Xenopus tropicalis: one gene and its partners. The protein of the gene in region 3 interacts with the protein of the main gene of each other region in a pairwise test. Links are inferred from orthologs where the notes say so. Each region holds a gene or a part of one and is shown on either strand. Other genes may lie near its edges.

Region 1 (3,654 bases), on a different chromosome or scaffold from region 3:
ACTAGGGCACCTGGGGCCCATCAAATTACCCGATTTCAAGGGCTCCCCTGCCCAAAGCACAACAGGTATTGGGAGTGGCCGGGGCCTTCCTGCGCCAATGGAAAGGTATCCGGGAACCCGGGGGGGGGCAATAATTTATGTAGGTGGATCAGGTGAGGAATGGGTAAATAAAGGCCAAGTGTAGGGCATTGTGGGTTGGCTGAGGGAGGGGGTAGGTACAGAAATGGCCTGGCCAGAGGTGAAACAATGCTTAATTTGTATAAGGCAACTCTACAACTTGCAGTGGGTGGAAGAAGGGTCTCACTGGCCCACTCTGATACCGGGAAATATCACAGTGGGTTCTAGGCCTGGTGTCCATTTTGGACATATAGTTTAACTGTTCCCCACTGGCCAGGCCATTTCTGTACCTACCCCCTCCCTCAGCCAACCCACAATGCCCTACACTTGGCCTTTATTCACCCATTCCTCACCTGATCCACCTACATAAATCATTGCCCCCCCCCCCCATCCCATCAAAGTGTTCCATTCCCACCCTCTGCGTGAGTTAAAGACTTCCTGACCCTACAGAGTCCACAATATATGGCTTTATGGGTAAAAATTCAATATATACTCGAGTATAAGCCTAGTTTTTCAGCACCCAAAATGTGCTGAAAAAAAGTCACCCTCGGTTTATACTCGAGTCGGGTGCCGTGGGTCCCTCCAGATGAAAATTCATCTTCATCTACCATCCTCACCTTTCCCATTTTGCACTTTATATTCTATATAAACTATATATAGTTTTGAAGGATTTTAACTCTTTGTGTTTTAGCTTGGTTGCTGATTGAGCTAAGGGGGTAGTACTCTTAAGTTATCATTGTTGATACCATATTGTTTTTGTTGACCCTCTTCTCCACTTACAGAGCTAGTTTACTGTTTTTCTTTGAAATAAATATTGAAAAACATATACCCCACTGATGCCTCAATTAATGTCATTTTATTGGTATTTATTTTGATTATTAAAACTTAGCAGTAGCGGCTGCATGTCCCACCCTAGGCTTATACTCGAGTCAATATGTTTTTCCAGTTTTCTTTGGTAAAATTAGGTACCTCGGCTTATACTCGGATCGGCTTATACTCGAGTATATATGGTACATGATAAACTATACCTTAAGACCAGGTATCTCTTTAGGCAACTTACCTATAATATCTGGACTGTAGGTAGGTGGAGCAGACCGCTTTTGACACATGGCTCGCAGAACCAAAATCTATAACCTTGACCCTGTATGGCTGCCGGGAAGGATCCACCAGCATGATGTTCTCCGGCTTCAAGTCGGCGTGAATAAGCCCCAGACTTTTCAGTTTCATCAGAGCAGTTCCCACCTGCTGCAGCACCGGCCGGATATACTTGAGGGGCAACGGGCTGAATTTGTTCTGCTTCAGGAAGTCATAGAGGTTCTGCTCCAGCATCTCAAAGACCAGGCAGGTGTGGTTCTTGTGCTGGAAACACTCGTAGGCTCTCACAAAGTTGTAGTCGTCGGCGCTTTCCGTGCTGAGCCTGGCTAAGATGCTCACTTCGATCTGGCCTTGCCTGGCGTAGGACGGGTGGTTCTTCAGGATCTTGATGGCCACAATCTCGTTGGTTCCCCTCTTCCAGCATTTCACCACTTGACCAAAGGTTCCTCTGCCCAGGAACTCCAGCACCTCATATGTGTTAGTCATAGAGCAGAGGACTTCGTGTTGCACCAGCTGGTAATCCCCTTCGCTGTTGGAGCCACTATTCTTGGAGGTGGCGGTGGAGGTGGTAGCCGCAGTGGCCCCGCTAGCATTGTTCTGGGTGACGGGGGGATGCTCGTCCACGATCTGTACACTGCTGTTATTTTCCAGCTCTTCACACTTCCTCTTCAACCCGCACTTCTGGTAGGTATCCAGAAGGCTGACCGTGCTGCGCCGCATCAGGTTAGTTTGAGGGCCGCCTAGTGCTTGCCCCGTCGCCGCTGAGGAACCGTTACTGGACGAGGTTACCACAATGTGGCCCGCGCTGGTGGGAAAGATGACCGTCTGCTCGTAGGATTGGAGGAGGGAGGCGTGGCTGAGCACCGGCTGGCCAGACGTGGAGCTGTTCTTGCCCGAGTTATAGACCTTGCTGTGGCAACCGTAACCAGTCATATCCCAGCCCGGGCTCAGTTCAAGCTTCGGCTTCTTCACCTTACAAAAGGTCCTCAATGGGAGGCCGTGAGAGGAAAATATCTGCAAATGAGAGGCCATACCTGCAGAGAGAGAGAGAGACCCACAATTAGACGTACACTGGGGGCAAAAGGCACTTACACGGAAGGATAAATATTACAACTGGGGGTAAATACTTAATAACCAAATCTATGTTTTTATCTTCTTATAAAGTCACAATTCTGTGTTTAGACCCATCCATAAACCCTACTAGATCCTTACATAGAAGCACCTACATGGATCCTATGTGGTTCCTGGTTAGACCCATCCATAAGCCCAACTAGATCCTTACATAGAAGCACCTACATGGCTCCTATGTGGTTCCTGGTTAGACCCATCCATAAGCCCAACTAGATCCTTACATAGAAGCACCTACATGGCTCCTATGTGGTTCCTGGTTAGACCCATCCATAAGCCCAACTAGATCCTTACATATAAGCACCTACATGGCTTCTATGTGGTTCCTGGTTAGACCCATCCATAATACCAACTAGATCCTTACATAGAAGCACCTACATGGCTCCTATGTGGTTCCTGGTTAGACCCATCCATAAGCCCAACTAGATCCTTACATATAAGCACCTACATGGCTCCTATGTGGTTCCTGGTTAGACCCATCCATAAGCCCAACTAGATCCTTTCATAGAAGCACCTACATGGCTCCTATGTGGTTCCTGGTTAGACCCATCCATAATACCAACTAGATCCTTACATAGAAGCACCTACATGGCTCCTATGTGGATCCTGGTTAGACCCATCCATAAGCCCAACTAGATCCTTACATAGAAGAACTTACATGGCTCCTATGTGGTTCCTGGTTAGATCCATTAATGTGGTTCCTGGTTGCAAAAAAGTAGCTGCAACTAGTAGCCCAGTGTGTCTTCACCTTAAGGGTGAAGACACACGGAGCTACTAGTAGCAGCTACTTGTTGCGGCTATTAAAATGCTGATCATTTACTGACAATGACAATGCTGATCATTTACTGATAACTGTTTCTACGTGTGTTTTAGGAGAGGCAATTCTCAGTATGGAAAGGTATTTTCTGAAGTTTAGTAGCTGCAAAAAAGTAGCTGCTACTAGTAGCCTTGTGTGTCTTCACCCTAAGGGTGAAGACACAGAGAGCTACCAGTAGCAGCTACTAAAACAGACAATGTTGATCATTTACTGATGGGTTTTAGCAGAGGCTAGTGCTGGGCGGTATACCGGTTTAACCGGTATACCGGTTTTTTAAAAAAAAAAACGATATGGTTTTTTTGGGGCCACCAATATTTATTATTTATTTTTTATTTATATACCGTCAAATACCGTGATACCGATATAATTTTGAAAAATACCGTGATATAAATTTTTGGTCATACCGCCCAGCTCTAGCAGAGGCCATTCCCAATATTGTCTATGGCAGGGGATTTTCTGGCCTTTAGTAGCCATGGCAAGTAGCTGCTACTAAGTAG
Region 2 (3,754 bases), on a different chromosome or scaffold from region 3:
TATATATACAAATTGAAGAAGAGAAATCAGAAAGAAAACGTTGATCAAAGAAGAAATGTGAAAAAAAAAATTTAGAGAAGTGGAAAAAAAATGAAAATAAAATCCCAGCTCTAGAAACTGGTCCCTACAAAATCATAAGGACCAAGGCTCTGTAGGCATAATAAGCATATATAATCCATCAGATGTGGAGGAAATTCTTCTTCATTTTGGGTTGAGAGCACAATTGCTATTCAGGGAGGGATGTTTTAGGCAAAGTTTGGATTTCTGGGTTTCCTTAATCCTTGTCCCCTAGACACTGTTCCTGGATGCAGCTCCGCAGGCTTTTCCTACTAACAGGCGCAGGCTGCCAGCCTTGCAGCCCTCATATTCATGACTATTAATATTACACCGATACTTAATAAAGGAAGAATGCTTGGAAATCGAGCGTGAACCGAAGAGGCAACTCAAGGCAGAGCCCTGTTCTAAATGACGTCCATTGAATGAAGAGGCAGTGTATCTAATCAGAGGTGGAGGGGGAGGAAGAGGAGGGAGAGACTCAGAGAGTGAGGGAGAGAGGGGGGCTGGCTGACGAATCACAAGGAAGGGGGGGACATTTTAAAGGTTGCAGGGCATGCAAAAGGGAAACAGCTCCAGAGTATGGGGATCAGCAGTGACAGGCAAGGGGGGTGAGGGGCAGATAAAAGGATTTGGCACCTGGGAATCCTGGGAATATCCTGGAAATGACATGTCCATGTCTGAGGTCCTTCTCTTGCTGCTGGGGACGGGAATGTTCTCTGTGGAGTTCAACCCTTTGCTTTTCATGTCTGTATCTGAGGGGCCCGAATCTCCTGCCCTCTGTGACTGATCCATAGCCCTATGGGCTGCAACCACAAGTGCCACAGAACAGAACCAGCTTAAAATGGCAGCCTCCAAAATTCTGCCCGGCAGCTCTCTGTATGTCCTCCTGCCCCAGATCTCAGCAGCTCTTAACCTGTGTCCTTAGTTCGTACACGAATAACCTGTACCACTGCGCTGCTTGGGGCTAAACATGTGAGACAGGGCTCCTTCCTCAGCCCAGCAAAGCCCTGTAGCTCAGTGTGAGACAAAAGAGAAATCCACCCTTGCTGCTGTGCTTGTGGGAGCATGCAGGGCCCGGAAGGGAGCAGGGCAACTCTCTTCTTTTTGTTTAGCTCTGATTTCCTGTCCCCGTTGGCAGATCCAGGGTGCAGATAGGGCGCTTTGCCTGGGAAGTAGATGCTATAGTTCGCACAGCGCAGCGGCAACGGTTCTGCCCCAGTCCGCAATAGTGAGGGGGTGAGCTGAGTCCAGCGCGGCTCGGTTCTGCCCGGCTCCGAATCTGCCTCCCTTCCGCCCGTCCCCGGCTCTCCTAGTCTCCCACTCGAAACCCGTCAGACTGGCTCTACCACTCCAGCAAACAACTCCTCCAAAATATGTCATGTTCAACTATACACAACTCCTGGCTGGCTGGGGTTAGAACAACAAGAGCCACCTACCGCCTGCATGTCCCTGTACAAATATGCACAGCTAACAAAATAAGGCTTCAAGCAGGCGCTGAAAGGGAGATTACAAGAGCCTTTGCCTAATGCACAGGGACCCTGTTCTGCCCTCTCCCTCCTGTCTGATCCTTTACCTGAGACACCAGAGCCTTTCAAAATATTCAGCTTTCAGTCCAGGTAAAACATCAGAAATCTCAGTGCTGTGCCCCTGCTGCATTGTGGCAGCTTCATGTATAACTGCGCTTAATTTAGTCTCCTAAAAATACAGATAAAAATAAAATGAAGGTACAATGAAGCACACACTAGATATATATATATATATACTTGTGTTTGTGTTTAGTGTTTTAACCAACCGCTTGGGTAATGCTAGCAAATTTGTCTGGTGTGAGTGCGACTCAGTGCCGCTGCCTGCAAGTCCTAACAAGACAGTGATCCATGCTCAGTGGCAGCCCCCACCAACATGTCCTCTGTATCAGGGTCTCTCTCAGGTGAGCTCCAATGCTGAACTCACATCCGTCACTCACACACTTTGCACTATTTGCCCTGCACTCTGCGTTCCTTGGAAAGCTACAAATCCGACCCTACCTGTTTAGAAAATTGGGGGATATACATATATACTTACTATATACACTATATATATATATATATAGTGATATAAATAACTAGTGTATAAAAAAATCACAACTATATCAATAACTAAATAATTTGTTCATTTGTCAACATATTATCCATAGGGAACAAAAGCATATACAATGTTGTTGAATGAATAAAAAGTAATATTAGAGAGACAAGTTTGGGAGTGTGTATATAAATACGTATTTCTGAATCTGAGCCATATTTACAGGGCAGTGCAAGGTTCCTGTCCGACAAGTAAAAGGGCTCAGAGAGTCAGGTACTTTAAACTCCGGCAGACCTTACAGAATAACTCTGTACACACACAAGGTAGAGATCGGAGGGGGACATATAACTGTTAGAAAAAGTGCTGCAGGGCCCTTACCTCACACTCCTCATATTTGATATTATCCGTTAGTTTCCAGAGCATTTTCATGGGTGGCTGGGAAGAGACCTTTCCAGTTCTTCCTTGTCCCTGGTCCTGTGTGCAGCAGTCCCTGTGTGTGCCTTACAGAGAGGGAGGCTGGAGCGATGCTTTTGGTGCACTCAGATCTCCCTCTAATGGTGGAAAGTTTCTTTTTTTCCCAGTACCAAGTCCTGATGTGCTCATTAGCATACAGGCAACTGCCCCACTGCTCCCAGCCTCCCAGTCAGCATAAGGGGAGCACTTTGGGATCCCATAGCCCCAATATCAGTCCCTATAACAATATATACATTCCTTTCCATACAGAAAATATCCATGTTTTTCGCACAAATCATCAATAGATTTCATATTTGCCAAGGCCGTTACATTTTATTCCTTTCCATGTGTTGCTGTTCATCAGTTCTATTTCTGTTTTTGCACACAGATACCATAGAAAAAAAGAATGGCACTGTATACATGATTTATGCCACTTGGCAATTATTTCAGGGTTATAACCTGCATAATAAAAAATATATCCCCCACTAATTTCTAGATGTAGCACTCAGAGAACCTTTTAATTGAAGGGAGATGAGGAAATGATGTTGAATCTAATGAGATGAGTTTCATTCTGACACTAGGTTGTGGGAGCAGAGCTAATTGTACTAAATCACATTACACTGGGAGAATGAGTGGCCTATTCTGGGCTGCAATGGGTTATTAGGGAGACGAGATTTGTCTGGTGTAATTATCAAAGCAGATAATGTGCTTCTTGTCTCTTCTCTCGGTATGTCAGTATGTAGTCTCTAGCTTAGCTCATAGGGGCACAGTGGGTATAATGATAAAACCCTGGGTGGTGGTAAATGAGATGAGAATAGCCATCTGACTAAAGAAGGTGTCTGGAGCCACTACTGGGGTCTAAAGCCAATGTCATGATGATTTTAGAAGTATCTACAAAACAAGACTAAGGTTCCTTCATTGTGTTCTCGCTTTAGTCTTGTATAAATAGTTGTTTTTTCTCTCATTCAGGTTGAAATTGAGCTCAGCCTTATTCCCCAGCCTATGCAGATTGACTGGCAACTTGAAAAGGGTCCATCTCCAGCCAGCGCCATGCAGGGAGGCCAGACAGACCCAGGCCCCATCGGCACGATTACCATGACCGCCCAGCTAATTGAATGTGAATATTCACCCGAGGATCAAACATTAAAGTTTAGAGGGGAGAGAGGGTGGGAGCGACCCCTTAACA
Region 3 (3,754 bases):
TAAGTGCTATTTCCTTCTGTCACTGTGTGTGGATGTATATTCAGAGGTGCAGAAGATTTCTGAGCTAATTTTGAACTGAGTTGTTGAAACATACCATTGCCTTAAGGTCAGGGCCGCTCTTGCCATAAGGCAAAGTAAGAACCTTGCCTCAGGTGGCAGTGAGCGGGCAGTAATCTGGGATGGCAAAAAAAGCCCATTGGGACTCAATACTAGCCTACAGTGAAGTCAGAATTTTATGAGGCACTAACACAGGAGTGAAGGTTTGCCAAACAAAGGGAGCTGAGTCTGAGGTTTCAGAAGGAGCCAGCGCTACACATTAGAACTGCTTTCAGCTAACCTATTGTTTCTCCTACTCCCATGTAATTGGAGGAGTCCCAAGCTGGACTTGGATTTCTCACTATTTAGTGCTATTCTGATATATAGTGGGAGCTGCTATCTTGATGCTTCACATTGTTCTGCTAATTGGCTGCTGGGAGGGGGGTGATATCACTCCAACTTGCAGTAGTGGCTGCATTTCCCTCGGCTTATACTCGAGTCAATAAGTTTTTCCAGTATATATAGTATATATAGATGGAAGGATCTACTGGTAAATAAAGCATTCGAGAGATTATAGTGCCCTTATATATTCATACATAGTTCTCATATTCCCCCTTAAGGACTTCTATTTGCACCTTGGCCAGTCTTTCCACATAACGGAGTCTTTACATACCCTATATGTGCTTAATTGCCCTTCTCTGGAATTTCGCTATTTAATAGGGATGCAATATGGTGCTCAAATAGCTCCTTGTGCCAATATGTATAGGCTTGCTTCATAAAGAACATATCTAGTAAATGGCCTCTCTGCCTAACTTTGTGAAGGTGTGTGCTTTAGATGAAGCTCAGGACCCATGCTGACTATTGTGTGGCTAATCAGAGGGAAACAAACCTAACATCTGTGTGCAGTGCCAAGTGCCAGCTAGTGGCATATAGCTCCCAGATCTGCTGAAGTAAGAGATGGCGTTTCACCAGCTGGCAGTCTGATGGGGAAAGTCCAAATATGGCAGATACCAGGAGGAGACAACCAGCTTAAATCATATATGCCAACGGTAGGGCTGACTTTTGTTTCAGCACAATAATGCTGCTATGCACAAAGGGCCATACTGAATGAGTTTGTTTAGATGGGAGTGGGACTGGCCGGCACTGAGCAATATTAATCCCACCAGTAAGGGTTACAATAACCTGGAGAACCCACTACTCCACTATGCACCCACTCCAGAACAGTGTCAGTTGATTTTTGCCTGATCCTTCCCTAAGCAATTAGAGCCTTGCTTTCCAATGCCTTTGTGGTTAAAGAAGCCCTGTTATTCTGCAGTACAGTTGGCAGTGCTATGCTGATTTCTTGCATTTTCCACAGGTAAATTTGAGCCACCCCTTTTTCACCCGAATGTCTATCCTTCAGGCACAGTGTGTCTGTCTATCTTAGAAGAAGATAAGGATTGGAGGCCAGCAATCACAATTAAACAGGTATCATAAAGTGCAGATTCCTGTCCTTCTGTATAATACTGAACAGTTTGTGTTCTGCAATTAACTTTCTCTTTTTTTTTTCTATATAAAGATCTTGTTAGGAATACAAGAACTTCTAAATGAACCAAATATACAAGATCCAGCTCAAGCAGAGGCATACACAATTTACTGGTTAGTGTTTATGTATGGGGCATTTTTCTGGCTGGGATAGGGGCTGTGTATATGTCCCCTCTTCTGTAGTAATGTTACCCTTTACAGGCAAACAAATCACTGTACTTGATGCTAGCTTTAATACTGTCTATTTGACATTTAAAGGGCTGCTATAATTTTTTTGCATTCACATTGTATTTCACTACTCTAATATTGAGAACTGAGTTTTTTTTTCCAGTAGCTTTGTTCACCCAGGCTTATCAAGCTTGCCATTTTAGTCCTACCTAAGCTGACACCAGGTCTGGGCAAGGATTCAAAATAGGCCCTGGCATTTGAAGGACATGTCAACCCCAAAAATGTTTTGCCTAATAAAGGAAAACTTAATTCTAAGTAACTTTGAAATATACATTCATTACATATTTGTAATGGTTTTTGAGTTATTTGTATATATAGCTGCTATTAGAAGTAGTGTTGGTCAGTGCTTTTCTATTCCCTGGTGGCTCTGGTGTTTAAAACAATGTAACAAACGGCAGCAGATTTTACAGACCTGTCTTGCTGGAGGAGCCTGGCACTCGCAACATTGTTTAAAAAGTAACAACCGGGAGTTCAGCAAATGCTGCTTTCTGTAGCAATTACATTTACAAAAAAACCATTTAAAGCACTGATATTTTTTAATACATTGTTATTGGAAAGTTGCTTAGAATTATGTTTTTTCTTTTATTATGAAAAAAAAATATCTTTAGGGTTGACATTTCCTTTAAAGTACACAGAGGCCCAGGTATAGCCCCCCCCCCCCCCCCCCATAGGTCCAATGGAACTCAGAAGGGACTTATGATATCCTCATATTTTACAATGGGTATTTTATTTATTACCTCACATACTTGTGTGTGTGTGTGTGTGTGTGTGTGTGTGTGTGTGTGTGTGTATGTATAATATACTGTATATTCAGGGGGACATGAGGTTTGGGACATGACCTGTCAGGAAGCCAAAGATGGACTCCACCTCACAGAGGACATTTTCTGATACCCTGTATAGACAGGCTTCCATGGATGGCAACTCACAGAATGTGCAGGCAAAGTTGGGCAAGTCATTAAATTGACTGAACAAAGGGATTTAGTTTAAGGGTAGGGCATATGGGTGACCAGGTAGAGTATAGCCTGGGAAATTTGTCTTGATTCTTTTTTTTTTTTTTTATCTCCCTCCCACAGCCAAAACAGAGTTGAATATGAAAAAAGAGTCAGAGCACAAGCCAAGAAGTTCGCGCCATCATAAACTTCAACCTTGCAGCATCTTAAAATAAAAGGAAGGGATTGGTTTGGCAAGAACTTGTTTACAAAAAAACAATTTTTTTTGCAAAAATTGAATGATGCTAAATAGAATTGAAACTCTCACTTAGGGGAGGGGGTCGTATGTGTGCCATTTTCCATTTCCGCCACTTGTATAGAGTTCTAAATTTGCTGAATATCCCCCCCAGTTTTTTCATACAGGGTCTCTTCCTTCAGTCTTTTTGTATTTTGATTGTTATGATGTAAAACTTGCTTTTATTTTAATATTGATGTCAGTATTTCAACTGCTGTAAAATGATAAAACTTTTATACTTCTATAAATTCACTAGTAATCTCTAGTTTTCCTTTGCTATCTGATGCAGGCATGCTTTCAAATGTTTAGAACTATATCTAGCCTCTAGCTGGCTGTATTAAGAACAATGTCATAAATTCCACCCCCTCCCCTACCCCAAATTTCTTTTTACGTCTTTAAGAAACTAGGTTGCACCTCAACCTAGAGCCTCAGAGATTCAATGTCAGTCAGCATCTTGCTTCTGCATCACTTCCTTTGTTTATATGGCGTTTTGTCTGTGTTGCTGTTTAGATTAAATAAACTGTTTATATAAAGTTTTTGTTTCTTTATCTTTTTCATTAAGAGGACCACAAAGCAGAAGTGTTCAGGCTTGTAAACTGACATTGTGACATTTTTATTTTTTGTGTGAAATCTGTACATATATATATATATAAAAGAACTTTTTATAACTGTTCTATTCTTGCTGCGCCGTGAAAAGGATGAGCAAAACGATTGTAGCCCTGGCATCTTGATGTAGTTGGCT

What was found.
Region 1: the proteins of ube2i (region 3) and hipk2 interact in a two-hybrid assay, tested with the Homo sapiens proteins (5 studies listed by BioGRID and IntAct). The link is inferred for Xenopus tropicalis from reciprocal best matches to the Homo sapiens genes UBE2I and HIPK2.
Region 2: the proteins of ube2i (region 3) and tfap2a interact in binary tests that used the Homo sapiens proteins (3 or more experiments, as listed by UniProt). The link is inferred for Xenopus tropicalis from reciprocal best matches to the Homo sapiens genes UBE2I and TFAP2A.

Annotation. Positions count from the first base shown.
Region 1 is NC_030679.2:7,953,553-7,957,206, forward strand, and holds part of hipk2 (homeodomain-interacting protein kinase 2), read right to left. Parts: intron 2,247-3,654; 5' UTR 2,245-2,246; coding exon 1,178-2,244; intron 1-1,177.
Region 2 is NC_030682.2:90,360,107-90,363,860, forward strand, and holds the start of tfap2a (transcription factor AP-2-alpha), read right to left. Parts: upstream 2,615-3,754; 5' UTR 2,545-2,614; coding exon of another isoform or gene 2,539-2,544; coding exon 2,494-2,538; intron 1,683-2,493; exon of another isoform or gene 850-1,682; coding exon of another isoform or gene 694-849; intron 663-693; exon of another isoform or gene 1-662.
Region 3 is NC_030685.2:28,773,878-28,777,631, reverse strand, and holds part of ube2i (SUMO-conjugating enzyme UBC9), read left to right. Parts: intron 1-1,393; coding exon 1,394-1,503; intron 1,504-1,594; coding exon 1,595-1,674; intron 1,675-2,861; coding exon 2,862-2,925; 3' UTR 2,926-3,754. UniProt on the Homo sapiens protein: Accepts the ubiquitin-like proteins SUMO1, SUMO2, SUMO3, SUMO4 and SUMO1P1/SUMO5 from the UBLE1A-UBLE1B E1 complex and catalyzes their covalent attachment to other proteins with the help of an E3 ligase such as RANBP2, CBX4 and ZNF451.